4 linked regions of the Elephas maximus indicus genome follow. The protein of the gene in region 1 purifies or fractionates together with the protein of each later gene. This does not show direct contact. Links are inferred from orthologs where the notes say so. Each region holds a gene or a part of one and is shown on either strand. Other genes may lie near its edges. The genes, in order: SRPK2, SON, DIDO1 and RBM27.

Region 1 (7,567 bases):
ATTTTATTTAGATATATGGGTTAAAATGATCCAAAATTAAAGGAGGAAAATACTTGTTCCTGTGGGAAATAGCCTTATGGAGCTCCAGAATCTATGTCTGGGATTTTCTGGCTCTCTCTTGTCTCTTACCTTTTTGAAAGTTCTCTGGAATCCTGTGCCATCTTACCTCTTTAACTGAAAGCAAGGATGTGATTTTTATCTTTTTTCCCCTTATTCCCAGCATGTATACCTATGAAATAATAAAACTTTACCTATATCTGTATGTATTGGGATTTACCCATATTCAGTGTAATCGTTCCTGTAGCTGATGTTTGTATAGCAGTATTTAAGTTTGTTTTGTAATTTTACGTATTTATATTCATCACTTCGTGCCCTCCAAGTTGCAAGCCCTAAAAGAACAGGATCCTTTTTGTTGAAGAGATTTTGTTGAATACAATAGTCTCATCTGCTGGCATACAGCAGTTGAGGGCTCAGACCCTAGGCATAGACTACCTGGGTTCAGATCCCTGCTCTGCCATACTACCTCTGTGACCCATGGTAAGTTACTTAGCCTTTCTGTGCCTCAGTTTTCCTGTTTGTAAAATGAGGGTAATGATAATATTTCTCTTGCATGGTTATGGGAGGATTAAGAGAGTTATTATATGTAAAGCAAACAGAAGAGTGCTTGACACATAACTGGTAGAAAATAATAAAATGTTAGTTATTACTGTTATTGTTGCTATTTATTACTAGTATATTATTAATCTTCAGGCATTATTTCATGCTTAAAATGTTGTTTTCAAGTGACTAGAAGCTAGCGACTCAGTGTACAGCTAAAGATGATAAAGACGAAGAGTGTGTACTCTGGGATACTGATTCAAGGTCACTTGATAAAACAGACCTAAGACTTTTTGTATTCTTGATGTGTTTATGGTCCTGTACGCTGACTTCTGTTTATTAAAATGCAGAACTAGTTTGGATTTCATGTTCATGTAATTGGTAGGGAACCTTGTAGACCGTAAAACAAGAATAAAATAGACTTGGTCTATTTTGCTGAAGTGTCTGTGGTACTTCATAACATTTGCAAAGCAACAAAGCCTTGGAAGTAGACTTTACTATTGCTGCTGTGAGAAAGATTTTTTATAGAAATAAGCGACGAACTGAGGCTTGAGGTGAGAATTTTAGGATTTACAAATGAGAAAAGTGATAATTGGCAAAGTTCCTGAGGGGTACTGTGTGGGCGTACAGACACAAAATGAATTATGGTGAATCGACAAGCCTTATAAAAAGCTCCATGAAAAGTTTAATGTTTTTCTCCCACTATCACATAAAATTTTTAAAATTTGCTTTTAGATCTCATTTACCTATTGAATCTCTTATTTTAGTTTTGACTGTAGAGCTGATTATATTTTTACTAAATAAAACCAAGACTTTTTTGTGTGATATATAAGATGCTGTAGGAACAGGTCCCTGCCAGTATCTCTGGTTCATTTGCTATCAGTGTTCACCTCACTATTGTCACCTACCACATTGACTTAGATGGCCCACATGAATGATTCTCAGTAGCTTCGCTTGTGCAGTTTTTCTGCTTGGAATGGACTCCAGCTTACTTTCTTCACCTGGCAGGTCCTCCATAACCTACATAACCAAGCCCAAATGCCTCTGACCACTCCCTGCTCCGGACAGATAGGTCATTTCCTCCTTGCAGTCTCTGTAGCACAGCTAGCTATGGAGCTAGGCTTTGGAGTTAGAAGAATGCCTGGATTCTCATCTTGGTTCTTTTACTTGCTAGCTCTGAATTTTTTTTTTTTTTGAGATAAAATTCACATAACATAAACATCGACATTTTAAAGTGTACAATCCAGTGGTTTTGAGTATATTTACATGTTGTGGAACCATCCAAAACCACATTTTCTCCCGTGGAGTGGATGATGGGTTCATACCACCAAGCTATCAGTTAACAGCTGAACACTTAAATACTGTGCTACCAGGGATCCTTCGTACAGCTATCATGCCTATCTAATTCCATAGTATTTCCATTACCCTTAAAAGAAACCCTGTACCTATTAACAGATACTCCCCAGTCTCCCCTCTCCCATCCCTGGTCAACCCCTAATCTGCCTTCTGTCTCTGTCAATTTTGTGTTTGTATCGAAATGTATTCTGGATGTTTCATATAAATAGAATTGTACAATATGTGATCTTTTGTGTCTGGCATCTTTCATTTAGCATAATGCTTTCAGGGTTTATCCATTTGGTAGCATGTATCAGTATTCCATTCCTTTTCATGTATGGATATTCCACATTTTGTTTATCCATTCATTGGTTGATAGACACCCCCCCCTTTTTGGCAGTTATGAATAATGCTGTTGTGAATATTAATGTAAAGGTATTTATGTGAACATCTGTTTTCAGTCTCTTGGGTATTACACCTATGAGTGTAATTGCTGGGTCATAAGGTAATTCTATGAGTAAGTTTTTGAGGAGGTAGCATACTGTTTTCTGCCGTGGTCATACCATTTCTCATTCCCATCAGCAGTGCCTGAAGGTTCCAACGCTTTTTATTGTCTGTATTTTTTTATTATAGTCATCATCCTAGAGGGTGGTTGGCTGCTAACCAAAAGGTCTGCAGTTTGAATCTGCCATCTGCTCCTTAGAAACTCTATGGGGCAGTTGTACTCTGTCCTGTAAGGTTGCTATGAGTCAAAATTGACTGGACAGCAGCAAGTTTGGTTTTTGGTTTTAGTGGGAATGAAGTGGTATGTCATTGTGGTTTTGATTTGCATTTCTCTAACAACGAATGTTGTTGAACATCTTTTCATTTGTTGGCCATTTGTATATCCTGGAGAAATGCCTAGTCAAATCCTTTGCCTATTTTTAAACTGGATTGTTCTTTTTTTTTTTTTTATTGTTGAGTTGTAAGAGTTCTTTATATATGGATGCTATACCTTTATTAGATACCTGATTTGCAAATATTCTCTCCCATTCTGTTTTTACTTTCTTAATAATGTTCTTTGATGTACAAAATTTTTAATTTTGATGAAGTCCAATTTACTCCATATATTTTTTTAATCTTTTATTATTTATGCTTTGGTGCTATACCTAAGAAACCATTGCCTGATGCAAGATTATGAAGATTTACACCTATGTTTCCCTCTATAAGGATATTATAGTTTTAGCTTTTACTTAGTGATGGGGTTAATGTGTTTGACATGTGGCAAGGACATGAATTTTGGAGGCCATAAAGTAGAATGTCATGGATCGAATTGTGCCCTCCCAAAATATGTGTCAACTTGGCTAGGTCCTGATTTCCTGTATTGTGTGGTTGTCCTCCATTTTGTGATCTGATTATGCTCCATTTTATGTGTTGTAAATCCTGACTTCTGTATGTGAATGAGACAGGATTAGGTTTTGTTAATGAGATCCAATTATGCTTGTTATGTTAATGAAGCAGGATTAGGGTAGCATACATCACCCTTGCTTGAGTCACACCTTTCCTTTTACAAGAGATAAAAGGAGAGAGAATGGAGCAGAGAGGAGGGACCTGCCTACCACAAAGAAAGAAGAGCCCGTAGCGGAGTGCACCCTTTGGACCCGGGGTCCCTGTGCCAAGAACCTCCTAGACCCAGGAGAAGATTGATGCCAAGAAACATGGCGATCTCCAAGGAACACCAGGCCCACAGATGTTGAAAGGGGATGAGGACCTTTCCTCAGAGCAGACAGAGAGAAAGCGTTCCCCTAGAGCTGGTGCCCTGAATTGGGACTTCTATCCTCCTAAGCTGTGAGAGAATAAATTGCTGTTTGTTAAAGCCATCTACTTATGGTATTTCTGTTATAGAAGGACTAGATAACTAAGACTGTTCTTTAGGCCTTTGATCCATTTTTGGTTAATTTTTGTTTAGGTAGTTAAGTAAGTGTTCAGTTCATTCTTTTGCATGTGGATATCCAAGTTGTCCCAGCACCATTTGTTGAAGAGAGTATTCTTTCCCCATTGATTGGTCTTGGCACCCTTGTTGACATTAATCATAGATACAGGGGTTTATTTCTGAACTCTCAGTTCTAGTTCACTGATTTATATATCTGTCTTTATGCCAGTACCACACTGTCTTGATCACTCAAGCTTTTCGAAGTTGAGATGTGTGAGTCCTCTTTTTCTTTGTCAAGATTGTTTTGACTATTCAAGGCCCGTTACATTTCCTTATGAATTTTAGGGTTAGCTTGTTCATTTTTGCCAAAGTGGCTGTTGGAATTTTGATAGTGATTGCTTTGAATTTGTAAAGCAATTTGAGGAGTGCTGTCATCTTAACAATATTAAGTCTTCCAATTTATGAACACGGAGGCCTTTCCATTTATTTAGGCCTTTAATTTCTTTCAGCAATCTTTTGTAGTTTTCCATTTACAAGTTTTGTACTTCCTTGTTTAAATTTATTCCTAAGTATTTTATTTATTTGTTTTTGGTGTTACTGTAAATGGAATTGTTTAGCTCTCGAATCTTGAGCAAATTTCTTAAACTTTCTGGGCTTTAGTTTCCACATGTGTCAGATGGAAATTATCTTAAGTACCTACCTCTTCCCTTTGTTGTGAGAATTTAATTAGTTAATTCATATAAAGGATTAAATGAGCCTGACAGTTCAAGGTAAATGTTTAATATTAGGGATTTTAGCCTTATATATATTTGTAACCAGTCTCTTTGCCCCAACACCTGTTGGTGCTCAGGGAATATAGGAGGACGGTCAAGTTAAGGCTGTATCTCATCAATTTCAGTTCTTAAGGTTTGAAAATGTGTGTTGGGCATCAGGGAAACTTCCTCTTTTGCCTGCATATTTTGATAAGGCTTGTTTTCTTACACATGTAAGTAAGCCTTGCACAATAATTTTGCCACCTCCTAATATAGTGAAGTTTCCTTTTGAGATGTTCCCATGGGCCTTGGTTTATCAGAGGAGGAGGAAAACAGGCATTACCTTGGTGAACTAACAGTCCTTCATATATGAAAATTGTAAATGAAATTAAGTTGGCATAAGGTATGACCTGTGAGTCACAACATTAGAGACTCAAGCAGTTCCAGTTGGATATTAATATGTAGTATTTAAAGAATTATCTTTAAGTTAGGATTATGAAAATACTTCCATTCTCTCAGCATTACTCTCTGGTATAATTTCTAAAAGAGATATAGTAGAAAATTTTACAAATGATACTTGTTTTTTTAAATGTAGAACAGAGAAAACTTTGAAACTTGGCCTCATGCTGAACAGAGCATTGGGTCTCATCCTGAGTATAACAACTCACAGTCATCCAAGAACTTGTGTTACTTCTTCTGTCTTCCCCACCAGGCTCAGTGTAAGTAAGTGTCTTTGTTCTGTTTAGGGGCAGAATTAACTATTAATGATACTTCGCTGTGGTGAGAAATTTAGACTGTTTTTAGGGATCAGTTTCAATACATTTCATTGCTAATGAAGGGCCAAGATGGTGAGGCTAATAACATTAGGAATTTATTTAAACATTCGTATTTTCACACTGTAATACTTTTTTTGCATTTAGTTTCTGAAATAACAGATAACCCATATTGTGCAATGAATGTAAAGTTTTAATTTATTCTACACAGCACTTAGGCTGGGTGATCTGGGATGTTGGACTGCTGGTGTGGATGTGGCCTGAACAGCTTTCTCTTCCCCTCTCTGCCTTCTTGCTCACTGGCTTGCAGTCACACTTCTCTGAAGGTGGGTATTGCTAAGAATAGAGACCACAATTTCGGGGGAATTTGCTTGCTTTTCTTCGTAGAATTTGAAAGTCAACAGCAAACCTCTCATAGTAAACTAGTTTATTTCTTGGTTTACAAATTACATCCAGAATAACAATGAAAGACTTTTGACAGGAAAAAAAATATTTCCTCTAGTAAAATGGAGTTTCTGGTAAGTGGCAGCAGTGTCTCCAGTCTGAAACCACCTCCTTCACTTCCTTTAACCCCCTTCCCCCAGCCCCTGCCTCGTTGCAGAGTTTGGTGTGAACATACTGTAGTCCACTGGCACGTTATCATATTCAGGAACACAAGTAATCCTGTTTTGGAATTATTGTTGTTAGGTGTCAGCAAGTCATGGCAACTCATAGCGACCATAAGTGTTAACAGAATGAAACACCACCTGGTCCTGAACCATCTTCACAGTTGTTAAGCTTGACCTCATTGTTGCAACCACTGTGTCAGTCTATCTCGTTGAGGGTCTTCCTGTTTTTTGCTGGCTCTCTACTTCACCAAGCATGATTTTCTTCACCAGGGACTGGTCCCTCCTGATAATATGTCCAAAGTACTTGAGACGAAGCCTTGCCATCCTCGTGTCTAAGGAGTATTCTGGCTGTATTTCTTCCAAGACAGATTTGTTTGTTACTTCTGGCAGTCCATGGTATATTCAGTATTCTTTGCCAATATCATAATTCAAAGGCATCAGTTCTTCTTTGGTCTTCTTTATTCATTGTCCAGCTTTCGCATGCATATGAGGCAACTGAAAACACCATGGCTTGTGTCAGGTGCACCTTAGTCCTTAATGTGACATCTTTGCTTCTTAACACTTTGAAGAGGTCTTTTACAGCAGATTTTCCTAATGCGGTGTGAATGCATCTTTTGATTTTTTGACTGCTGCTTCCATAGGCATTGATTTGTGGATCCAAGTAAAATGAAATCTTTGACAACTGCAATATTTTCTCCGTTTATCATGTTGCTTATTGATTCATTTGTCAGAATTTTTTGTTTTCTTTGTGTTGATGTGTAATCCATACTGAAGGCTGCAGTCTTTGATCTTCATTGATAAGTACTTCAAGTCTGCCTCACTTTTAGCAAGCAAGGTTGTGTCATCTGCATATCGCAGTTTGTTAATGAGTCTTCTTCCAATCCCGGAGCTGCATTCTTCTTCATACAGTCTGGCTTCTCTGATTATTTGCTCAGCCTACAGATTGAATAAGTGTGGTGAAAGGATATAACCCTGATGCACACCTTTCCTTATTTTAAACCACGCAGTGTACCTTTGTTGTGTTCAAACAACTGCCTCTTGATCTGTGTACAGGTTCCACATGAGCGCAATCAAGTGTTCTGGAATTCCCATTCTTTGTAATGTTATCCATAAAGGCAACTGTTAAGGAATGGGGAGTAGAATTGGGATTATAACTTGAAAAATGAAATCAAATTTATGTAAGCTTATACATTTTATTTAACAAAACTTGTTATTAAATATGTACGGATTTTTAGAATGAATGAAAAAATATATCGTGTTGATTGTTTTTGGCATACCTTTTCATACTAAGTTACGTGATAACATGATTGGACATGGAGGGAATTTTTGCAAACTATTTAAGAGTTTTATTATTTTCCCTCTCTGTCTCTAATAATTGAACAGTTCTCATTCTTGTGACACTTAGCATATTATTGTCCTTGTTGATTTTTGTTTTTATTTACTAACCCTTCTAATACTTACTATAGCCTCATTTTTTTAGTATTTTTGCTTGGGATTCTAGCATTTCCTTTGTGTTTTCCATCAACTTTGTGAAATGTATCTTTTGCAGATTTTCAGTTTCACTTTGCTCAAGATTTGTATTTTGTTGGA
Region 2 (7,204 bases), on another chromosome or scaffold:
AAGTCGATTCTGACTCACAGTGACCCTACAGGACAGAGCAGAACTGCCCCATAGGATTTCCAAGGAGCAGCTGGTAGATTCAGAACTGCCAACCTTCTGGTTAGCTGCCAAGCTCCACTGCGCCACCAGGGCTCCCCTGTAAAGGTTACAGCCTAGGAAACCCTATGTGGCAGTTCTACTCCATTCTATAGAGTTGTTATGACTTGTAATCAACTCGATGGCACAGGACATGTGCTACGTGTTTAGTCTTCCAGACTCAGACGAACTAGGAAGAAGGGTCTGGCGATCTACTTCTGAAAATCAGCCAACGAAAACTATGCATCACAGTGGTTTGATCTGTGACCAATCATGGGGATGGTGCAGGACCAGGCACCATTTTGTTCTGTTGTGCACGGACTGCCATGAGTCAGGGGCTGACTCTCTGGGCAGCTAACAAACACGTGCTAGATAGTATCGTAAACACTGGGGCTAAGATATTAACATAAACAGGGCATCTACACTTACGATGTTTACGTTCCACTGTGGCAAAGCCAGGTAACTAACATCTAAACGAGAAACTACTGGGTATAAACAGATTGCACAAATGTGATATGAGATGAATTGGGAGGCTGTTTTCAGTTATAATGATGGTTCTCTCTGAGGCAGAGACATTTAGGCTAAGAACTGATGGACGATTTTAGTTAAGACCCAGTTCGCCTCTTCAACCTAGAGACCAGGTAAATTTTCTTTTCTGATGCAGCTCTAAGTAACTAGCAGTAGCACTGGCCACGTACCAGGCCTGGGTCCCACAGACGCTCTCTGCCTCACTCTAACTAAACTACCATTCTTCAGTTGGCTGAAGCCTCAGTGACTCCGCACATACCTATATGGGATGGGGCAAGAGGTAGTATCTGCGATGCCTAAGGTACATATCCAGAAAAAGTCATGAGTTCTCAACCCACAGGAACTGCTTGACTCAGGTAGGGATGGAGTACCGTGTACCCTGGGTTAAGAGCTCCATGTATAATTGTGCTGAGTAGAGCCAACTACATCAGCATGTGCTCAGTAAAAGCGAGAGTACACATCTAACCTCGGCAGCTGCCAGTGCTAGCAGCCTTATGACAATCTTAGGAGGCTCTGATGGGTATCATGTTTTAATAAAGTGTACCAGTTCTCCAGTAAACAGATTCAGCACTGCACCTCACCCCAAGAGCTAAAACCCCAGGGAAGCATGCATTTTCTTCGTTGTTTTTTTCTTAGTACGTGCCACATAGAGTACTTAGGCAGTGTGGACAGGATGCAAAATCAGATAGAAAAGTTCCTTGTCCTTACGCAGCTTACATTCTAGTGGGTGGGTTGGGGGTGGGTGGAGAAAAGACAGACAATACAGAAGGAAAGAGTAAAAATAAACAGTGGCTCATGACAGAAAACAAATGAGACGGGGTGGAAACTTGCTGTAGTTAGAAACTTCAGGAAAGGTCTCTCTGAGGTAACATTTGAGGCCCGAATGACGGGAACAAATGCTGAGTCCAAGAGAGCTCTGTTTGGGAAACTGGCAGGAGAGCATGGATGAAGCACAGTGAAAAGAGAAAAAAGGGACATAAAAGAAAAGGCTGGAAAGGCAGAAGGAAGCCAGATCACAAAAGGCTTTGTAAGACACAATAAAGGGTTTGAGCTTTATTCTAGTTGCCATGGGAAGCTGCCAAAGAGTTTAACGTAGTGTGTGAACTGATCATTTTTATCAGTGGAAGGGATAAGGGTTGAGATCTATTATGGAATTAGAATTACCAGGATTTACATTTTCAGAGAACTGCTCAACTTTTCATTTCCAAAAATAGACATCGAAATGCTTCTAATCTACTATTAAGTACTTGTTACTTTTTCGATGAACGTGTTTTATAAAATATGGGTTTAAGGTAACCTAAGAGAAGAAAATGTCACATCATGAAGAATAGAATACCTTAGGCTTACTACACATGCAGATATTCAAATTACCACGTAACTTTTAAGGCTGACAAAACAAAAACATCTGAATAGCAATCTATGGCCAGAGGTGGCTGACAGCGTATCACAAACCATAACTACTATTTCCCACTTTAAAACACGATTACCAGCATTTGAAATCTTTTCGGAGCAGGCAGTGCCTGCATTTCCTGGGGCGACCAACACTTGTTTGACATGATGAGACTGGGCAAGTTTCCAGGCCAGAGTATGTTCCCTTCCTCCATTGCCAAGGACAAGCACTCGGGCTGCCATGGTTGTCTGTGAAGCAGGAACTCTGAAGAAAAACACACGCTGCATAAAGAAAACCACGGTTGATATTTTAGAGTGCACATCTTTTAGAAACCACGATTTGCAAATGAACCCTGGGATTCATTTTTGAATAAAAAATTGAGATTCATAAACAGAGAAACGACTGCACTAGGAGGGCATAAGAGGTATTTTCAAGGAAAATGCATGGACTGAAATATCTGAGATAAACTTATCCTTAAATCCAGATAAAGGACTGCATTTTCCTGGAATAACAGGTGCAGTGAAGGAATAGATCAGGAGCCCTGGTGGAGCGGTCAAGAGCTCGGCTGCTAACAGAAAGGTCGGCAGTTCAAATCCACCAGCCACTCCTTGCAAACCCTATGGGACAGTTCCACTCTGTCCTATAGGGTCGCTGTGAGTTGGAATCGACTCGACAGCAACAATTTTTACTTTTTAACAGTTAATTACGAAACAGCATCACTTAGCCCGAAACGATCTACATCAGGGTGGTTCGGAGGCCTGGGTTTTGGTTGAGACTCTGCCTTTCATTAGCTGGGAGCCCCTGAGTAACTTAACTACCCTCCTCGGGCCTCAGTCGCCTTATATTTAAAACGAGCAACTTATAACCAGAACAAGAAAGCCGGGTAAAACTATTTCCAACCCTTTGCTGAATAATAAAAACAGAAACCAATTACAAAAGCGGACCTAATTAATCTGCTGCAGACAATGGGTGCATAGAAACAAAACACCATAAAACGGGCACAACAGCTTAAGTCTTGGGCCTAAGAAAACATAAATAGACAAGAAAGTTAAAGCCCTGACACCACAGAAAGCAGGAAAGGTGATAAAGCCAACGTAAGCCCCAGGTAAGAGCAAGGGAAGAGCACGTGGCCAACCTCCACCCCCCACATTGGGAAACAAAGACGAAAATCCCGACGGCCACACCCGACACCGAGCAGCCACACCAAGCACAAACGTGCTTTCTCTCAAGGCCGCGGCTTGCTCACGCACCGAGCTGGCGGCCGCGCTCCGACTCGAACTCACGTCGGCGCGCTCCGAGCCGGACCGCCGCGGCGGAAGTCAGCCGGGCCGGATCCGACGCGCACCCTCCCGCCGCCCGCGCTCCTCCCCGCCCCGGGCGGGCGCCGCCGCCTCATTGGCCTGCTCTGCGCTCGGTCCCCGCGGCGAGGTAATCCAGTGTGGTTCCCGCCCCCGGGCGCGGCCAGAGCCTGCTCTTGAGCAAAGCTGTCAAGCGGCGCACGTTCCGAATGTGACACTAACACCGGCGCCACGTAACGTCGCCGCTGCAGCCCGAGAGCCTCCCAGCTCTGAGGAGGGGGCGCTGCTAGCGAGGGTCCGCACTGAGCAGCCAAAGCGCAAAGTCTCGTGACGCGCCCGGCTTTGAGAACCGGTCGCTCAGGACCTCCGGCCTCTGGCTAAGATTGAGGTCGATGATAGGCTGCAATGGGACAGGCGGGGTGAAAGCGTGTTCTCCGCATTCTCACAATAGGGGCGCGGGCTGGCCCGTGCTTTCCTGGATGCGTCTCCCTGACCGAACAGAACTTGGCGCCACACGGGGACGCCTGTAGGCCCCATGTCAAAACATTTCCCCCTTTTTCATAGCATTTAATCTCGGGCATTTAGTCGCTAAATAAACCTATTAACCCCTTTCTCCGGCCCCGCCCCCCCCCAAAACAATGTTGGGGACTGATAAGCGGACACAGTCGCCTCGGGAGAGGTTTCTCCTGTAATGGCGCCTGCGTCAGACACTAACATGGCGGACTGAGCCGTGCGCGGCGCAAACGTCAGCAGCTCTACCCCAGCCGCTCAGGAACAGCGGAGGAAAGTGGAACCGTGCTCACTGATTGGCTCGACGGCAAAGCGTGCCTGTGCCATCGCTCTTACAGGAGCCAATCAAGAAGCGGAGAGACGGAACTGGCCGCAGCGCCGCCTCCCGAGGCATGCTGGGAGCCTGGAGGACTAGCGAGGAGGAGCTGAGAGAACGGAGCGGACGCCATGGCGACCAACATCGAGCAGATTTTTAGGTCTTTCGTGGTCAGCAAATTCCGGGAAATTCAACAGGAACTTTCCAGGTAAACGATTCCCAGACTGTTCTCGTCCCAAGGGTCCGTTAGGGCCCATTGTAGCTTTTCCTGGGGCTTTTCTTCAGAGAAGCCGTCGTTCCTCGGCTCGGGCCCCGCTACAGCCCCGCCTGGGCCTGGGATCCATTTTCCGGCTTCCCCTCCCCCCTCCGCGCTCTGCTTCCCTGCGAGGAACTTGGCCCTTTCCGCGGTGACCCGGGCTCCCTCATTCGGGCCGAGTTACGATGCTGGCGCTTCTCTCCCGGCCGGCCACCCCCTAGGCCTGAACGCCTCGCAGGCCGGCTTGTCCGCGGCGGCCGGGCCTAGGCCCCTCGGCTCCGCCTCCGCCGCTCCCCTCCCCCTCTCGGCCGAGCTGGCCGGCCGGTGCCGCTGACCGGAGAGGGTCTCCAACGGCCATTTCTTGGGTGATCTTCAGCCCGCTTTGTTTTTGTAATCTTCAGACGGTTTGGGAATGAGCATTCGTTAATTGGATTATTCGGGCCCCAGCGTCTTATGATTTCCGTCCGTCGACATTCTGATGAGACTGAAATGAAAGTAGCTGAAATTAGTTAGGTATTTTGTAAAAATATTTGAGGTGAGGATGGTAGGGCTCTTTGGGGTATGAGTCATTTTTTAATTTTAACAAGTGGAAAGTGGGCTTATGTGTGTAGTTTGCTTTTTCTTGCCACTCGTGCCCCAATTGACATATTTGACCAACCCGCTACTTTTACTGTCGCTGATACATGTTCTGGAGTTTAGGCTTGATTCCACGCAAATAGAAAGGGAAGTGACTTCCAAAGAAACAGTTGTTTACTCAGAGAGGAAAGTACTGTGGGTCGTGTTGTTGTTCAGTGGTTGTCTTAATATTTTTGCTTTGTGTAAAATACTATTTTCAAGTGTAGAGATAGGAAAGAAAGCTTAAGTCAGATATTTGAGTTCGAATGTTTTTGCTAGTTGTGTGTTAAAAGTAGAGCGTATGAGCAGTGAGTAAACTTGAAAATAAAAGCGTGATTGTAAATTAAGTGTCCGAATTAACATGAGATTATTGGGGCAATGGAGTAATATTGCTAAAATTGTCCAAAGTGTTATTTTTGCAGATGTATTGTTTTTTAGATGGGAAATGTATCTGCTCATTATATGGTTTTTTAAAAAAATTATATGCTAATGTTTTTAGGATAATGAAAGAAAACTTGAGCAAAGGGAATGTAATTTCCCTGAAAGCTTTTTAATAGTGGCATGCAGAAAGTCGTGTGTTTGCTTAGTGTGTAAGTTTTGCTTTTGTAAGTAACAAAAATCAGTTTTTTATTAGAAAATAAATATTATTGTAGAATATTTAAAAGAAAGAAAATGAAAACTACCCGTGTAATTATTGGTGTTATGCCCCTTTATTTTCCTGTGCAGATACAGATCTGTAATTATATATATGTTATGTGCAATGGGATTGTTTTTCTTTGTTTTGGTTTTCACTTAATATATAAACAAGTTTGTCATACCACAATCTCGGTAATCTTTGGCAACATTGTTCATGGCTGTGTAGAATTCCATTGTGGGAATGTATCGTTGGATAGCTAGGTTGTTTGATATTTTCATTGTTTTTTAGTAATTTCAGTTTGCATCCTGGTAGCAGTCATAAAAATTGAGAGATAAGGTTCAATCATGATAATTTCCTCATAGATTGAACTTTTTTTAGTGTACTTTTCTGATTTTTCAATCTGGGGTCCTTTAGAAGGGAGAGTTACATAATAAGTGTTTGGGAAAAGTAAAAAGAAGCACTCAAAGTCTAAAAAGAGTATTAGAGAAAGCAATTTATTACTGTCGAAATACAAGATACGTAGCTTCACCATAAGCAACATGTAATGTGTTATCAATTTAAAAATATTTTGGATTATTTGCCATTTCATTAAGGTTTTTTCTCCGTCTGCTCTTAGGTACATCAGTGTGGGTAATGAGGCTGACCTTTAGATATTTAAGATAAGTAACATAAGTATTGTATGTAGTTGGTGGTTAAGAGGATGCTCTGCTTATGAATACCAGCTTCATTTCTAAGTAGCTGTGTGACATCCAGCCAAGTTTCTTGTTCTCTCTGTGCCTCATTTTCCTCCCCAAATGAGAGTAATGGCATGATTATAGAGGTTTGTTAGGATTAAATTAGTTAAAAATGTAGAAGAGTGACACCTAATTAGTAGTTAAGTGTTAGTTTTTACATGATTCGTTGTATTAGAAAACTGAATATTTCCTATTAAGATTTATCTAGTGAGTATTTTCATTTTTTGACCATTGAGACCTTTATCAGGTATTGAGCATAATTGTTGTTTTCAGTTAGGTAGAATTGAGCTGTTGAAATTATATGGTTTTTCGAAAACATTTTTGTTAATTTATACGATAGTAGTAAAAAAAAACAACTGTAAATGATATGTTCTTATATCTGTCAATATTCTCTGGCCCTGTAGATTGAAAATATGTTAGACTACCCACTCATTTTTTCTTGGTATAATAAATTATTGCTTGTTTTGTGAGTTTTTTTTAAATATCATAAAATTTTTTGGTACTGGGATTTTTTTATAACTGGGTTAAAACTTCCTGCATGTATTTTTCTTCTTACGCTTTGTGATATTCTTTTAGCAGTCTAAACCTGATCTGAGGCTACAAGTTATGTTATATTCTTTTTTACCTAATGTGTCTGTGGCTAATTTTTGTGTTCTGGGATATTATTGAGGTAATCGTGATCTATGCACAGGCATAGCTTGATTGTACCCATAGTTTCTACTCTAACGCTAGGTCATATATTTTTCTTTGAATTTGTGATTTGGCTCTTAATAGTTTTTGTACTTGAGGGAAATAACCTGTGTAACCCAAAAGCCTCAATTAAAAATTTTGGGAGTATTTTATTT
Region 3 (7,879 bases), on another chromosome or scaffold:
AAGAACTGAACAGATTTCAAAGGGCAGCTTGAGAAGACAGTCAAGTATTATGATGACATGCACAAAAAGCTGGGAATAGAAAACCAAAAGAGAAGAACACGCTTGGCATTTCTCAAGCTGAAAGAACTGAAGAAAAAGTTCAAGCCTCGAGTTACAATAGTGAAGGATTCTATGAGATAAATATTAAACGACACAAGAAACATCAAAAGAAAACGGAAGGAATACAGAGTCATTATACCAAAAAGAACTGGTCAATGTTCAACCATTTCGAGAAGTAGCATATGAGCAGAAATTGATGGTACTGAAGAAGTCCAAGCTACACTGAAGGCACCTGCGAAAAACAAGGCTCCAGGAGCTGACAGAGTATCAATTGAGATGTTTCAACAAACAGGTGCAGTGCTGGAAGTGCTCGCTAGTCTATGCCAAGAAATTTGGATAACAGCTACCTGGCCAACCAACTGGAAGAGATCCATATTTGCAACCACTCCAAAGAAAGGTGATCCAACAGAATGCAGCAATAATTGAACAATATAATTAATATCACATACAAGTAAAGTTTTGCTGAAAATAATTTAAAAAACGCTTGCAGCAATACATCGACAGGGAACTGCCAGAAACTCAAGCCAGATTCAAAAGTGGATGTGGAATGAGGGATATCATTGCTGATGTTAGACAGATCTTGGCTAAAAGCAGAGAATACCAGAAATATGTCTACCTGTGTTTTACTGACTACGCAAAGGCATTCAACTGTGCGGATCATCACAAATTATGGATAACGCTGTGAAGAATGGGAGTTCCAGACCACTTAACTGTACTCATAAGAACCTGTACAGAGATCAAGAGGCAGCTGTTTGAACAGAGCAAGGGGAATACCGCGCGATTTAAAGTCAGGAAAGGTGTGCATCAGGGTTGTATCCTTTTACCATACTTATTCAATCTGTATGCTGAGCAAATAATCCAAGAAACTGGACTACAGAAGAAGAACGGGGCATCAGGACTGGAGGAAGACTCTCTGATAACCTGCGTTATGCAGATGACACAACCTTGCTTGCTGAAAGTGAAGAGGACTGGAAGCACTTACTGATGATGAAGATCAAAGACCACAGCCTCCAGTATGGATTACACCTCAACATAAAGAAAACAAAAGTCCTCACAACTGGACCAACAAGCAACATCATGATAAATGGAGTAAATATTGACGTTCTCAAAGATTTCATTTTACTTGGATCCAAAATCAACATCCATGGAAGCAGCAGTCAAGAAATCAGAAGACTCACTACATTGGGCAAATCTCCTGCAAAGGATCTCTTTAAAGTGTTAAACAGCTGTCACCTTGAGGACTAAGGTGTGCCTTGCCCAATCCATGGTGTTTTCAATCACCCGAAACGTATGCGAAAGCTGGACAATGAATAAGGAGGACCAAAGAATTGATGCCTCTTAATTATGGTGTTGGCAAAGAATACTGAGTATACCATAGACTGCCAGAACAAACAAATCTGTGTTGGAAGTACAGTCAGAATGCTCCTTAGAAAGGAGGATGGCAACACTTGGTCTTACGTACTTTGGACATGTCATCAGGAGGGATCAGTCCCTGGAGAAAGACATCATGCTTGGTAGAGGATCAAAGAAAATAAGAAAGACCCTCAAGGAGATGGATTGACACAGTGACTGCAACAATGGGCTCAAACGCAGCAACAATTATGAGGATGGTGCAGGACCGGGCAGTGTTTCGTACACGGTGGGGTCGCTATGAGTCAGAAGTGACTCGATGGCACTTGACAACAAAATTTTTCCTCAATAGGGGAAAAGTTGGAAAACAATAAAAAGCAGCTGCTTTCTAGATGCGATGAAGGAGGTGAAATCAGTAGGACTTGACAACTACTTGGCTGGAGGGGGAGAGGAGGGACTATTAACTGTATTACCCACAGGGAAAGCACAGCTGACAGGTGAGCACTGCTAAAGCCTCTTTAGTCAGGAATAGTCTATCTCCCTACGACGCTGGGCCTTCAAGCTTTTTGCTTGTATAATCCTGAAAGAATTTTAAAACTCTATAACCCCCGGCACGTTTTTAAGTTGATCTCTAAAGTTATTTATTATAGGTATAAACAGCTGCAAAGGATGCAAAATGGCCATAACCATTCTTCATGGCCAAACTGCCAATTGGACGTGCTTTCTGTCTGAAAAAGTTTGATATCACTTTGGTGGTTATTCAGATCTCATAAAACTGAACAAGCAATCACACGAAACCATCTCACTCCTGACTTCTAAAGACTTGCCGTGAGATTCTCACCGGACCATGTAAAGGGCTGCCCCCTCAACATTTCTAACATTTTTTCCCGAAGCGCACTTAAATCTTTTAATTTGAATCTCCAGCAATGGGAAATCAAGACCCTGCCCTGGAGGAGTCGGCATTCTTCTTCAGAAAACAGACTGAAATAAGGAAATAAACCCGCGAACATGCGCTACGGCCTCGTCCGGCGGATCCAGCGGCAGCCGGGGAAAATGGCGCGCCGCCTTCTCAAGGTGGTCTTCCGCAAGCCCCCGACCCTTCCCTCGGCGCAGGCGGCCCAAGCGGCCGCTCGTGAGACGACGTGACGAGTCTGGACGGGAGGCTCCCTGCGGGCACGATGGTCCGGCCTATCTGGCCTCGAGGGAGCACGCGCTCAATGACACTCGTGGAATCAACAAGGAATTCACCCCAACAGCCTTCGAGAGCGCCCACTCCCGGCCCGACCTAATGGCTCCGCCCCTGGGCCGTGGGAAGGCAAGCGCCTGGGAAGCAGGCCGTCGGGAGGCGACTCCGTCTGCGGGGCGGCCTAGGAGCACCAGGCATCTTTTCCCCCGCCCCTGCCCCATTCCCCCGGCCTCACACAAACGACGGGAAAGGACGCTGGGGCCTTCGTTTCTGACTCAGTCTAGGCGTCGCCATCCCCGCGCGAAGTATCCGCACCTCGACGCTGCGGGGTCTGCCATCTTCCTTAGAAGCGATCGATGCGATTTGACTCTCGCGCCAACCCGTAGAGCGACGGCTCCGCGCGAGGGAGTTCTGCGCAAGGACGGAAGCTGGTGTTTGCACTTCCGGGTGACTGTCGCGCTCCGCCCCTTCGCAGGAAACCTCCATTGGTTGCCGCCCGGGATCTCGCGATAGTAGGCTGAGGGGGCGGCCGCCCGTGTGTCACCTCCTCCTCTCCGCCCCCGCCTGGCTGTGGCCACCGCCTCTCTCTCTTCCGGCGCCGCCGCCGCCGCCGCCCCTTCCCCAGCCCGGCCCCAGCCCCCTGGAGCGGCCACGGAGCCGCCGCTGCTGCCGAGACCGTGCAGCGCGGGAGGTGGGTCACACGGTAAGATGGCTGCGGCGGCCGGCCGAGCGTCACCGGGAGCGCGGGGCGGGCGGGCGGGCAGGCCGGGGCCGGGGCCGGTGGGCAAGCCAAGGTCGGGGCCGGGGCCGGTGGGCAAGCCAAGGTCGGGGCCGGGGCCGGTGGGGAGGCCGGGGCCGGTGGGCAAGCCAAGGTCGGGGCCGGGGCCGGTGGGGAGGCCGGGGCCGGTGGGCAAGCCAAGGTCGGGGCCGGGGCCGGTGGGGAGGCCGGGGCCGGTGGGCAAGCCAAGGTCGGGGCCGGGGCTGGTGGGCAGGTCGGGGCCGGGAGGGACGGTCCCAAAAAGAGTCCCGCGTGGAAGTCTTGCGGGGCGGAGGCCTGAGAACGGGGCGCGTTCTCCGCAGCTGGACGTTTACCCTCTCGACCTGTGATGCTGGAAGGTGGTGGACGTATTATTTCGTTTGCTTCGTTTTCGGTCTTTTTCTTCCCTCCCGAAGTAGACACCTAACCTTGGTTGTACCTCGGAGCTGTCACCCTGTTTCTCTTCCTAAAGACAACGTCTTTGAAGTGAAGGTGCTGACGTTCAGGAAGAACCGTCAACTAGAATAGCAATAGTTACTCAGACTTCTTATATCTGACTTCGCCAAGCGAACGATTTTTATAACGAATCTGCTTTTTAAAAGCAGAAACTGAGCTGGTAAGCACGGATGTCATGGCGTGGAAAGCAAGTGGTTCTGGCTCTCGGTGTCTAGGGAATGTATCTTGGCAGAAAGGATTTTTGATGCTGGCTTGTTTCTGTGGAATATGTAACTGTTGGAGGTTGAGGCTGGCAGTTCTTCCTGCAAAGAACAGGGTCAGCTCTGCACGGTGCTGCTTTTTAAGATCACCCTCACCTCCCCCAGGTAGTCCTCTGTGATTGCTGATTGCCAAATGGAAACTGAAAGGGGGCTTTTGTAAAGGGCTTTTCATATTGGTCCTTAAAACCCATTGCCATTGAGTTGCTTCTGACTCATAACGACCCTATAGGACAGGTAGAACGGCCTCATATGGTTTACAAAGAAAGGCTGGTGAATTCAAACTGCTGACTTTTTTGATTAGCATTCAGACTCTTAACCACTGGGCCAATAGGTCCTTACCCATACCCATTGGCGTTAAGTCGATTCCAACTCAAAGCAACCCTATAGGACAGAGTAGAACTGCTCTATAGGGTTTCCAAGGAGCACCTGGTGGAGTCAAACAACAGGTCCTTAAGTTACCTTTAATTGTTGTCTCTGAATATACACTTCATCTTAGTGATGCAGTTGACCTAGTGCTACAAGAGATAAGTCTTGTGTGTGTGTGACAACATGTGTTGGTTTTAGTGATTTTTGTTCATACTCTGCTGCTGGCACCTCCGTCTCTGCATGGCCTCTACGTTTTGGTATCCTCCAAGGACCTGAGGGCTTTGTCTGGTTCCCCCTGCCTCCCCATGTACGCTTTTTCCCTAGGTGATCTTTGCCAAACCTTCTTTAAATATCATTTGTTCGTGGATGTTTCCGTAATTAACATTTCCAGCACTGAGCTCAGGACCTGTGATCAGGTGCCTGCTTGACTTCTCCACCTGCTTGTCTCATAGTCTCCCCAAACTTGCCCCACTCCTCAAACCTGTTCCACTCCCTGTCTGTCCTTGTTATCCATGGCCTCACGTTTCAAGGTCTCAAACTTGACACCTCATCTTCCTGGATCCTTCCTTTCCATCACCCCACCTTCAGGCCATCGGCAAGTCGCATTGGCTCAGTGTCCAGAGAATCTGGATCTGGCCCGTCTTTCTGCCCTCTTCTACCATCTTAGTCCACATGGCCATCCTCTCAGCCTGCATGTCTCCTCCTGGTCTTCATGCTCAGCTCTTGCCATACTGCCTACCTTCCATCTTCTGCCAGAAAACCAGAGCCATCCTTCAATTCTCTTATTGAAACAGTTTATCGTGTGCTTCGCTGTGCATAAAGTAATAGCCATAGTTTGTAGGTAAGTTACAAAGCTTGTATGTAAGTTACAAAACCGAAAAATGAACCAGACACTTGTGTGCTCACCATACATCCTAGAAGTCACGCTCCAGCACTCCAGCTCCCGAAGCTGTCAGAGCTGCCAGCCCGCCCCCACCTGTAACCATCCCCCTGAGTTTTATATTTCATGCCCTTACTTAAAAAAATGGGTCTGCCACGTACGCATTTATTTCTAAAACACGTATTATTTAGTTTGCCTTGTTTTTTGGTTTTCACAAAACTATGATGCCACCCCTAGGTCTCTGCAACTTGCTTTTTCATTTGCTGTCGTTCCTAAGAGACATCTCTGTAACTGCGTGAGCTCCTTGTAGCTGCTCTGTTAAATTCTGTTGTGTGAACAGCTGCAGTTCCTTCTCAGCAATTCTGAAATCCAGACAGCTCTGAAAACCAAAAACTTTGTTTTTAACCCATTTGGGAGTAAAACCTTATCTGGGTAAGGGTATTCAATAGCTTTTATTCCATTAAAGTTGAATATTTGTGCATTTCACTGAAGAAATAATGTTTGATTATGGGGTGCTGTCTCAGACACCAATGAGGATGTTACGTAACGTGTGGTAAATTGTGCCATGTAATTGTTCTATAATATGAAGAATTCTGAATTCCAGATCATGTAGACCCGATGGCTTTAGACATGGGATTGTGGCTGTGTATCCTACAGTCCATTTGTCCATCCCGCTGTTGATTGGACATTGAGTGCCTTCCACATGTTAGCCATTGTCGATGGTGCTTCTGCAAGCAGGCTTGTGTGTCCCCTGGCACACTTTTGTAACTTTTTCTAGAGTATGTACATCTAGCAGGGGTAGAATTGTTGGGCTGTAAGGAGAACACCCACCCACTACCTGTCTGTCAGTTTGTTGTACTGTGGTAGCTTGTGTGTTGCTGTGATGCTGGAAGCTATGTCTCTGGTATTTCAGATACCAGCTATGTCTCTGGTATGTCTGCCACCCATGGCAGACAGATTTCAGGGGAGCTTCCAGGCTAAGACAGACTAGAAAGAAGGGCCTGATGATCTGCTTCTGAAAATTAGCTAGTGAAAACGCTATGAATCACAACAGAACATTGTCCAGTGTAGTGCTGGAAGATGAGCCTCCGAAATCGGAAGGCACTACACAATAGCTTCAACAATGGCCTCAAACATACAAATGATTATGATGATGGCACAAGACTGGGCAGTGTTTTGTTCTGTTGTACATAAGGTGGCCATGAGTTGGAGCCAACCCCATGGCAGCTAATAATGACAAGGAGTACCCACGTTCACCGTTACAAGAGCGTGCCACGTTGTTTCCGCAGGACCAGTCTATTCTAACAGCAGTATGAAAGTGTTCAAGAGAACTCCATGTCTTTGCCTACACTTGGTATTGTCAGACTTCTTAATTTTTGTCAGCCTAGTTAGTACAGATTGTAGCCTTTTTCGAACATACATCCTAGTGTATAATTTTGGAGCTTATAACTCTGCAGTGGCTGTCCTTTGCACTTAGAGCAGAATCTCAGCTCTTCCCTCCACCTATAGGGCTTTACTTGACCTGACCCCGACCGACCTCTCAACCTTTTAGTTCTAAGACATCTCGGTGCACCCTCAGATTTATCCTGCCTTATAAACACCCTGGCTTCTTCCTGGTCTCGGGATATACGTTTGGGAGGCCTCAGGCCTGGTTTCCAGATTTGAAGTCTCTCGACTTTCTCCTTTTCATTTCTGTGATGTGGCTGTGTGTTTATTTCAGAAATGGTCATGATTGTCAGAATTCTTCACCACTTAAGATATAATTTTTTTTCTTGTAGAAATTGACCAGAATGAGTTATGCAGAAAAACCTGATGAAATTACAAAAGATGAGTGGATGGAAAAACTCAATAACTTACATATTCAGCGAGCAGACATGAATCGGCTCATCATGAACTACCTCGTCACAGGTAATGGTTTGCAATAAGGACCCTAATTCTTGGACACAAATTTCCCTTTTTGTACACACAGATAGAGCTTTACTACTGAAGTCAAGAGTAAAGTTATGTTGTGTTGCAAAAGATGATATAAAGATGGTGAAAACTTAATAAATATACAAATTATCCTGTTTAAAGTAGCTTCTTCGGGAAATCAGCTATTCAGTCTCTGAGACCTAAGAAAAAAAAAGTTTCTTGACCTTTGTTGTTTTTAAAGCTACATAATCAAGATAATTAAGAATTTTCTGAAGTATGTTAAAATTCCAAATAGTTGATCTCTCTTGGCCAGAAGCATATAAAAGTGGTCTGTTGTCCTAAGGCTCAGACAGTTTTCACTGATATTTGGGAGGAAAAGGGGTAATTATACATATGTGGTAAGAAAATTCAGCTGTTTTCAAAAGGTATAAAATGAAAAGTTAGTCTCCCTCCCTTTGGTCCCCAGTTCTTTTCCCCCAAATTAATGTCCGTTTAAAAGCATTTTGGAAAGTGGTCAGGAAATGCAGGCCTTTAGCTGCATGTGAGAGAGGTGCGCACACTCTGGTTTGATGTTGTAAAGAATTGTGGACTTACTGGAGGTGGAACTCACTGAG
Region 4 (7,593 bases), on another chromosome or scaffold:
GCTACAACGAATGAAATGATGAAGTAAAGAGCTGAACGGAAGATTTCAAACGGTGGCTTGACAAGACAAAGTAAAGTATTATAAGGGAATGTGCAAAGACCAGGAGTTAGAAAGCCAAAAGGAAAGAACATGCTCAGCATTTCTCAAGCTGAAAGAACTGAGGAAAAAATGTAAGCCTCGAGTTGCAATTTTAAAGGATTCTATGGGCAAAATATCGAATGATGAAGGAAGAAGTAGGGAATACACAGCGTCACTGTACCAAACAGAATCGTCTGACAGTCAGCCACTTCAAGAGGCAGCATATGATCAAAAACTGTTGGTACTGAAGGAAAAAGTCTAACCTGCACTGAAGGCACTTGCGAAAAACAAGACTTCGGGAATTGACAATACCAATTGAGATGTTTCAGCAAATGGATGCAATGCTGAAAGAGCTCACTTGTCTATGCCAGGAAATCTGGAAGACAGCTACTTGGCTAAGTGGCTGGAAGAAATCCATATTTGTGCCCATTCCAAAGAAAGCTGATCCAACAGAATGCAGAAATTATCAAACAATATCATTAATATCATGAAAGTAAGATTTCACTGAAGATAATTCAAAAACAGTTGCACCAGTACACCGACAGAGAACTGCCAGATTTTAAGCTGGAATCAGAAGAGGACGTGGAATGAGTGCTATCATTGATGTTAGATGGATCTTGGCTGAAAGCAGAGAATACCAGAAAGATGTTAACCTGTGTTTTATTGACTATGCAAAGGCATTTAACTGTGTGGATCATAACAAATTACAGATAACATTGAGAAGAATGGGAATTACAAAACACTTAATTGTGCTCATACAGAACCTGTACATAGACCAAAAGACAGTCGTTGGAAAAGAACAAGGGGAGACTGTGTGGTTTAAAATCAGGAAAGGTGTGCATCAGGGCTGTGTCCTTTCACTATATTTACTCAGTCTGTATGCTGAGCAAATAATTCGAGAACCTGGACTACATAAAGAAGAATGGAGCATCAGGATTGGAGGAAGGCTCATTAACAACCTGCAATATGCAGATGACACAACCTTGCTTGCTGAAAGGGAAGTTGACTTGAAGCTCCTATTGCTGAAGATCAAAGACTACCGTCTTCAGTGTGGATTACACCTCAGCATAAAGAAAATAAAAATCCTCACAATTGGACGAATAAGCAACATCATGATAAATGGAGAAAATATTGAAGTTGTTGAGGGCTTCGTTTTATTTGGATCCACAATCAACACCCATGGAAGCTGCAGTCAAAAAATCAAACCGTGTATTGCACTGGGCAAATATGCTGCAAAAGATCTCTTTAAAGTGTTAGAAAGCACAGATGTCACCCTGAGGACAAAGGTGTGCCTGAGCAAACCCATGGTACTTTCAGTCAAAGCTGGACAACGAATAAGGAAGAACAAAGAAGAATTGATGCCTTTGAACTATGGTGTTGACGAAGAATATCGAATATTCCATGGACTGCCAGAAGAAGGAACAAATCTGTCTTGGAAGAAGTATAGCCAGAATGCTCCTTAGAATTGAGGATGATGTGGCTTCAAGTATTTTGGACATGTCATCAGGAGGGACCAATCCCTGGAGAAGGATATCATGCATGGTAGGATAAAGGGTCATTGAAAAAGAGGAAAGACCCTCAATGAGATGGATTGACACAGTGGCTGCAGCAATAGGCTCAAACATTGCAATGATTGTGAGAATGGCACAGGACCAGGCAGCGTTTCGTTCTGTTGTACAAGTTGGAACCAACTTGACAGCAGCTAATAACAACAGCAACAAGCATGTCTATTCTATTCCCTGTAATATACTTGATTACTAATGTACTTACTAGTGCCTTTGGTCACTAGTACTTACTAGTGCCTTTGGTCACTAGTAAGCTGGTGTTCGGTGCCTTCACTTTGGCAACAAGACCTGCCAAATTTACTTTATAAGTACATTTGGGAAGTATTTTGATATTCTTGCAGAGGAGTGATTTACTGTGTAAATGCAATTTCCATTTATTTGTAGCCTATTATCGAATTCTTGTCCAGCCTCAGGTCTAATCAAATCACTTCTAACTTTCTCTTTTTTAACTTCTGTCATTTTTTAAAAGAAAATTTACTTTAGATGAAGGTTTACAGAGCAAACTAGCTTCTCATTAAACAATTAGTACACATATTGTTTTGTGACATTGGTTACCAACTCCACGACATGTCAACGCTCTCCCTTCCTGACCTTGGGTTCCGCATTACCAGCTTTCCTGTCCCCTCCTACCTTCTCGTCCTTGCCCTGAGCTGTTGTGCCCATTTAGTCTCATTTTATTTTATGGGCTTGTCTAATCTTTGGCTGAAGGGTGAACTTCAGGAGTGACTTCAGGACGGAGTTAAAAGGGAGTCCGGGGCCATAGTGTCAGGGTTTCTCCAGTCTTTGTCAGACCAGTAAGTCTGGTCTTTTTTGTGTGAATTAGAATTTTGTTCTACATTTTTCTCTAGCTCTGTCTGGGACCCTCTACTGTGATTCCTGTCGGAGCAGTTGTTGGTGGTAGCCCAGCACCATCTAGTTCTGCTGGACTCAGTCTGATGGAAGCTGTGGTAGTTGTAGTCCATTAGTCCTTTGGACTAACCTTTCCCTTCTGTCTTTGGCTTTCTTCATTCTCCTTTGCTCCAGCTGGGGTGAGACCAGTGGAGTATCTTAGATGGCCACTCACAGGCTTTTAAGACCCCAGATGCTACTCACCAGAGTAGAATGCAGAACATTTTCTTTATAAAACTATGTTACACCAGTTGAGCTAGATGTTCCCGGAGTAACTTCCATCATTTTTTGGTAGCGCTTCATTTCCTTACTGGAAAGAACGGAAGGAATAATGTGGGTAAGTGTAAAGGAAAACTGAGAGGAGAGAGGGAAGAAGAGGCAATAGTGAGATGTGAAAGCTCTGGGCTTACAGTCAGATCTGGTACTACCTCTGTTCTGTAACCTGCAGACTTGTGTGATTCTCTGTACATCACTTAGTCTCTCTGGGCTTTCTTCCTCATTTACAACGTTGGTGGGGTTATTAGTGATGGAGGTTCATTAGATGATCTCTAAGTGCAGGTCTCCTTTTATATACTATGTGATAAAGGGGTGGGCAAACTATGGCAACAGGCCAAATCCTGCTGGCCACCTGTCTTTGTACACCCATGAGGTAGCAATGGCTTTTACATTTTTAAATAGTTGAAAAGAAAATCAAAAGAACGTTTTCTGACATGTGAAAATTACATGAAATTGATATTTTCATATAAGTTTTCTTGCAACACAGCCACGTTCATCCATTTACATATTGTCTATGGCTGGTTTCATGCCATGACAGCAGAGACGAATTGTTGCCACAGTGGTCTTTGGCCTACAAAGCCAAGAATATTTACTATCTGGACCTTTACAGCAAAGTTTGCCTAACCTTGCTCTATGGATATTTAGTATGCTTGCTTATCCTGGGCTGGTCCATCTGTTTTATAGGAGGTATGTGCTCATGAGGTATTTTTCAACATGTTATTATTATCATGTATAACCCCAAAATCATTCAGCTTTCTAGAAGGGACCCTGTTTTGCTCACCAGTGGACCCCAGTCCCTTATACAAGGCTGATACATAGCAAAGGTTCACTAATTGCTGTTGAATAAACAACACTGCCAAGCCAGTGATTTCCAAACTCCAAAAGGCATTTCTGAGCTAGTACAAACTAAGTTGTCTATTTCAGTAATTTCAAAATTAAAAAAAAAAAAAATTATTTAAAAAATCTTTTTTCCTGACGAAAATTCTCCCTGCAAAAATCAAAACTAAAAACTCCTTTTAGATATGCCATTAAAAAAAAAAAAAACTATTAGAATTTGTTTCACTTCCTAAATAGAGTATACATTAAAAATAAGTGGTAAAATTGAGATGGCCTCAGCCTTTTACATTCGTGCGCCACGTTTTAAAAACGAAGATTATTGGAGTCCAAGGCATGGTTGTCAGGAGCATTCTGCATAGTGTAAGCATAGCCGCAAAAATCGCAAGCGTGAGTGGCGATCAAAATGGGTGTGTTAGGAAGAAAAAAGTAAATTTTTACATTCAGTGCAATGTGTCGAACGTGAACGTCTTGCACCTTGTGTTGCAGATTTACTACAGCTGAGTCATTTCGGGACACGAGTGTGTGTGTTTCCAGGAAATACGAGAGGAAGAAACCAGGCTGAGGGGCTCGCCGGGTTCCCCCAAGCAGCCCTAGCACCAGACACCGGTATTCAGTGGCGGGCGCCGGCGTGGTCAAAAAGAGGCGTCGCGGCCCCTTTAAGAGGCACAGCACCTTCTCCAAGATACCATCTTGCACCAGGAGTTCACTTGCGCTCTCCACCTACCTTGCTACATCCCTCCTCCTTAACTGGGTACGGCCGGCCGGCGGGGCGGGCGAGCCTTTTCATTGGCGCTGAGCGCACAACCCTCTCTACTTTATTGGTTAATGTGCTCGCCAGTCGGCGCTGTCTCCCGCCTATCTGAGCCATCGCGTTCGGTTGAGTGAGGGCTCTTGGGTTAGTTCCTGTTAGGCCCGGGCCGGGGGAGTAGGTTGAAGTCTCCTAAGATGCCGGGTGGGCTGGGGCAAGGGGAGCTGTGAGGTGGTCGTGAGGAGGCAGCGAGGGGAGACCCACGGCAGGCCCGAAGAAGAGAGGCGGCCGAGCCCGCCTTCCCTGCACCATGCTCATAGAGGATGTGGATGCCCTCAAGTCCTGGCTGGCCAAGTTACTGGAGCCGATGTGAGTGAGGCAGGCTGGGCCGGCGCCGGCGAACGTGGGCGTTGGGGGCCCGCGGGGGCGTGGGGGGAGGGGAGGCGGTGGGGGATGCAAAGGGGCCGCGGTGCGGAGGTCCGGGCGACGTCTTCTCTGTAGTACTATCACCATTGTGGGGGGGAGGGGTAGAGCAGCAGGGGCGTAGAGGCGGTGTTGATGGGGAACGGCGGGAGGGTAGGGACAGCGAGGGCTTTTTAAATATAAATATTGGGGCGCTAGAAAGGATAGCAGGAATAGTGAGGGAATTTAAGATACTGCTATTTGAGGACGGAGAGGGATACATAGTAGAGCTATCGAGGGATTTTTTACTTGTGAATATTGGGATCTTGAAGGGAATAGCAGGATGTCGAGGGCTTTACAAACGGTGTTTATCGGGGGCTAAAAGGACTGGAAGGAGGGTATCGAAGGCTTTTAAAAAACAGTAGAGCAGAAAGGGATAACAGGGACACCGAGGCTTTATAGCGATTATTGGTGTGCTCTAAGGGTTCAGGAATATTGAAGGATTTAAAAAATATGAGGAAGCTGAGAGATGTGGGCATCGAAGGGTTCTGGAAATTATTGGGACGCTGATAAATATCATAGCAAGGATATTAAGGAACTGTGAAGTATTATTGAGGAGTGCTGGTAGAACAGATTAATATGTAAATACCATTGGGAGCTGGGAAAGAATTTTGAGGTTTTTATAAGTTTAGTTGGAAACCCTGGTGGTGTAGTGGTTAAGTGTTACGGCTGCTAACCGAAAGGTTGGCAGTTCAAATCCACCAGGCGCTCCTTGGAAACCTTGTGGGGCAGTTCTACTCTGTCCTATAGGGTCGTTATGAGTCAGAATTGACTCAACGGCAGTAGGTTTGGTTTCGGTATAAGTTTAATTGGAGTTCGAAAGGGCTATCCTGGTATCCAATATTATTGTTGGATGAGGGACTGAAAGGGATGTGCCTGTAGCATCTAGGAAATTTTCAATTCGGGTATTGGAGGCCTAAAACGGATAGCAGGAAGAGTAAGGGCTTTGTAAAAATTGTTGAACAATTGGAAGCAGAACTGGAAGTATTGGGGTGTAGGATTATTATTGAGGGGCTAAAAAAGATGAGAGGGACTTGTTCTTCTGAAATATTTTCAGTAGTATTAGATAGTGGTAGAAATATTATTGGGAGACTTAGAAGGGTTAGCAGAGCTATCAACTCTAACCCTTGTTTGCTTTATAACCATTCCAAGGGGTAGGGTTGTGGAGTATTTATTTGGGGGACTGGGATATAACTAGTCTGGAGCAGTTCTCCTAGGTGGAAGGAGAAAGAAGGTTGGAGGGCTGGAGAGAGAAAAATGCCTTTAATCCTCTTGGGAAAGAGGCACACTTGGAAAGGGAAAGAGGTTCATTTCCTGTCCCCTCCTTATTTCTGCCTGAATATCCTTCTTGGAGATTGGGTGAAAAAAAAGGAGGAGGGGGTAGAGGAAGAGATGGGCAGGCTCTGGTTCATTAGATCAGATCCCTTTAGTGGAAAAATGGAGTGTTTTTCAGAGGTGGATATAAGGGGCAGTTTGGAAGATGTGTAGGCATGGTAAAGTTGGGGCTATTGGGAGACATTGTGAAGCTGCTTCCCTGTTTATTTCCTGGTCCTCCTGAGGAACCTTGTTAACTAACTAGTTTTTGTTTTTCGGGTTTTTTTTTTTTTTCTTGCTACTTTGGTTTCTTGGGGTGGACAGTAACACCTAGGAAAAGAGTTATCTGCAGACCAGTGTGTCAGCCCTTTGAAGGCAGAATGTGAAGGGAGGCAACTTTAGGGGATGTGGCATTTATGTTCAGAGGATAAGGAGTGTGTGAGTAGAGCACAGGTATGAATAAAGGCACACTAAGGGCTTCTGAGCTTTAGGTCAAAAGTGATCTAGTTAAAGTGAAAATGACTTCTGGACACACTTGAGAATTTTGTAGAAGGATATGGGCATCTCAAGTAATACATCATACTTACCAATAAAAAGTTTTGGGGCACGAAGATAGAGATGGATTGTGGCGAAGGTAGGAAATAGATTTAAGGAAATTGACCGCATATGGAAAAGGTTGAATAAAGAAAAATATATATTTTTAAAATTTTTATTCTTAACGTTATTTAAGATTAAAAAGAGAAATCTCTCTATTTTGTACACCTGCTGTTCGCCCCCCCCCCCCCCTTTTTTTAAACACTCTTCCGTACAAGCTCTGATTTTCTTTGTTGGCAGAGATACTTTTAAATGTATTAAAGGTATATTTTATGTCTTAGGTAGAAAGTAACAACTTTTAACACTGTAGTTACTCTTTCTTTTTTTTTTAAAAGCTCCCTAAAATGTCTTACTCAGGGCAATGCATTTTTTTTAATTTTAAAATTTACTTTGGGTAGGAACTTAAACTTTCTAAGCATGTTTTCACTTGTCTTTTTTTGGCTATTCAAACTGATAAATGTTCGTAGATATTCTGTAATTTTCATGGGTAAAATTAGCATTCAAAAGGATTACTTGAAATTTAGTTTTTCCATTTGTTTTGAGTTATATGTTCAACTTACAGCACACGTCATGCTTCTTTTTGTGTTTTACCTTTTGGTACTTAATTAGGGCTTTTAAAAAAGAGATCTAAATTCTTCAATTACTTAGCGCTTAACAATATACAGTCCTGCCCTGCATAACGTCCTTTTGGGCAACATCTGACTGCATATACTGTGTGGTACCGTAAGGTTAGAATAAAAAAAAAAAATAAAGGTTAGAATAGAATTCAGAAATCTCGAACGGACCGGAGAACAGACAGACAACCAGAGAACAGACGTAACCTAACGCAAC

Evidence for each region.
Region 2: the proteins of SRPK2 (region 1) and SON purify together in Homo sapiens (affinity purification with mass spectrometry; 4 studies listed by BioGRID and IntAct, with this or other methods). This does not show direct contact. The link is inferred for Elephas maximus indicus from reciprocal best matches to the Homo sapiens genes SRPK2 and SON.
Region 3: the proteins of SRPK2 (region 1) and DIDO1 purify together in Homo sapiens (affinity purification with mass spectrometry; 3 studies listed by BioGRID and IntAct, with this or other methods). This does not show direct contact. The link is inferred for Elephas maximus indicus from reciprocal best matches to the Homo sapiens genes SRPK2 and DIDO1.
Region 4: the proteins of SRPK2 (region 1) and RBM27 purify together in Homo sapiens (affinity purification with mass spectrometry; 3 studies listed by BioGRID and IntAct, with this or other methods). This does not show direct contact. The link is inferred for Elephas maximus indicus from reciprocal best matches to the Homo sapiens genes SRPK2 and RBM27.

The regions. Positions count from the first base shown.
Region 1 is NC_064826.1:44,371,436-44,379,002, forward strand, and holds the start of SRPK2 (SRSF protein kinase 2), read left to right. Parts: upstream 1-4,542; 5' UTR 4,543-5,219; coding exon 5,220-5,315; intron 5,316-5,580; coding exon 5,581-5,695; intron 5,696-7,567. UniProt on the Homo sapiens protein: Serine/arginine-rich protein-specific kinase which specifically phosphorylates its substrates at serine residues located in regions rich in arginine/serine dipeptides, known as RS domains and is involved in the phosphorylation of SR splicing factors and the regulation of splicing.
Region 2 is NC_064836.1:28,050,668-28,057,871, reverse strand, and holds the start of SON (protein SON), read left to right. Parts: upstream 1-4,187; 5' UTR 4,188-4,248; coding exon 4,249-4,325; intron 4,326-7,204. Other genes in the region: GART (trifunctional purine biosynthetic protein adenosine-3), read right to left, coding at 2,091-2,235. UniProt on the Homo sapiens protein: RNA-binding protein that acts as a mRNA splicing cofactor by promoting efficient splicing of transcripts that possess weak splice sites.
Region 3 is NC_064843.1:5,039,484-5,047,362, reverse strand, and holds the start of DIDO1 (death-inducer obliterator 1), read right to left. Parts: upstream 3,019-7,879; 5' UTR 2,951-3,018; exon of another isoform or gene 2,871-2,950; intron 1-2,870. Other genes in the region: GID8 (glucose-induced degradation protein 8 homolog), read left to right, coding at 7,145-7,262. UniProt on the Homo sapiens protein: Putative transcription factor, weakly pro-apoptotic when overexpressed. Tumor suppressor. Required for early embryonic stem cell development.
Region 4 is NC_064820.1:160,225,220-160,232,812, forward strand, and holds the start of RBM27 (RNA-binding protein 27), read left to right. Parts: upstream 1-4,517; 5' UTR 4,518-4,702; coding exon 4,703-4,761; intron 4,762-7,593. UniProt on the Homo sapiens protein: May be involved in the turnover of nuclear polyadenylated (pA+) RNA.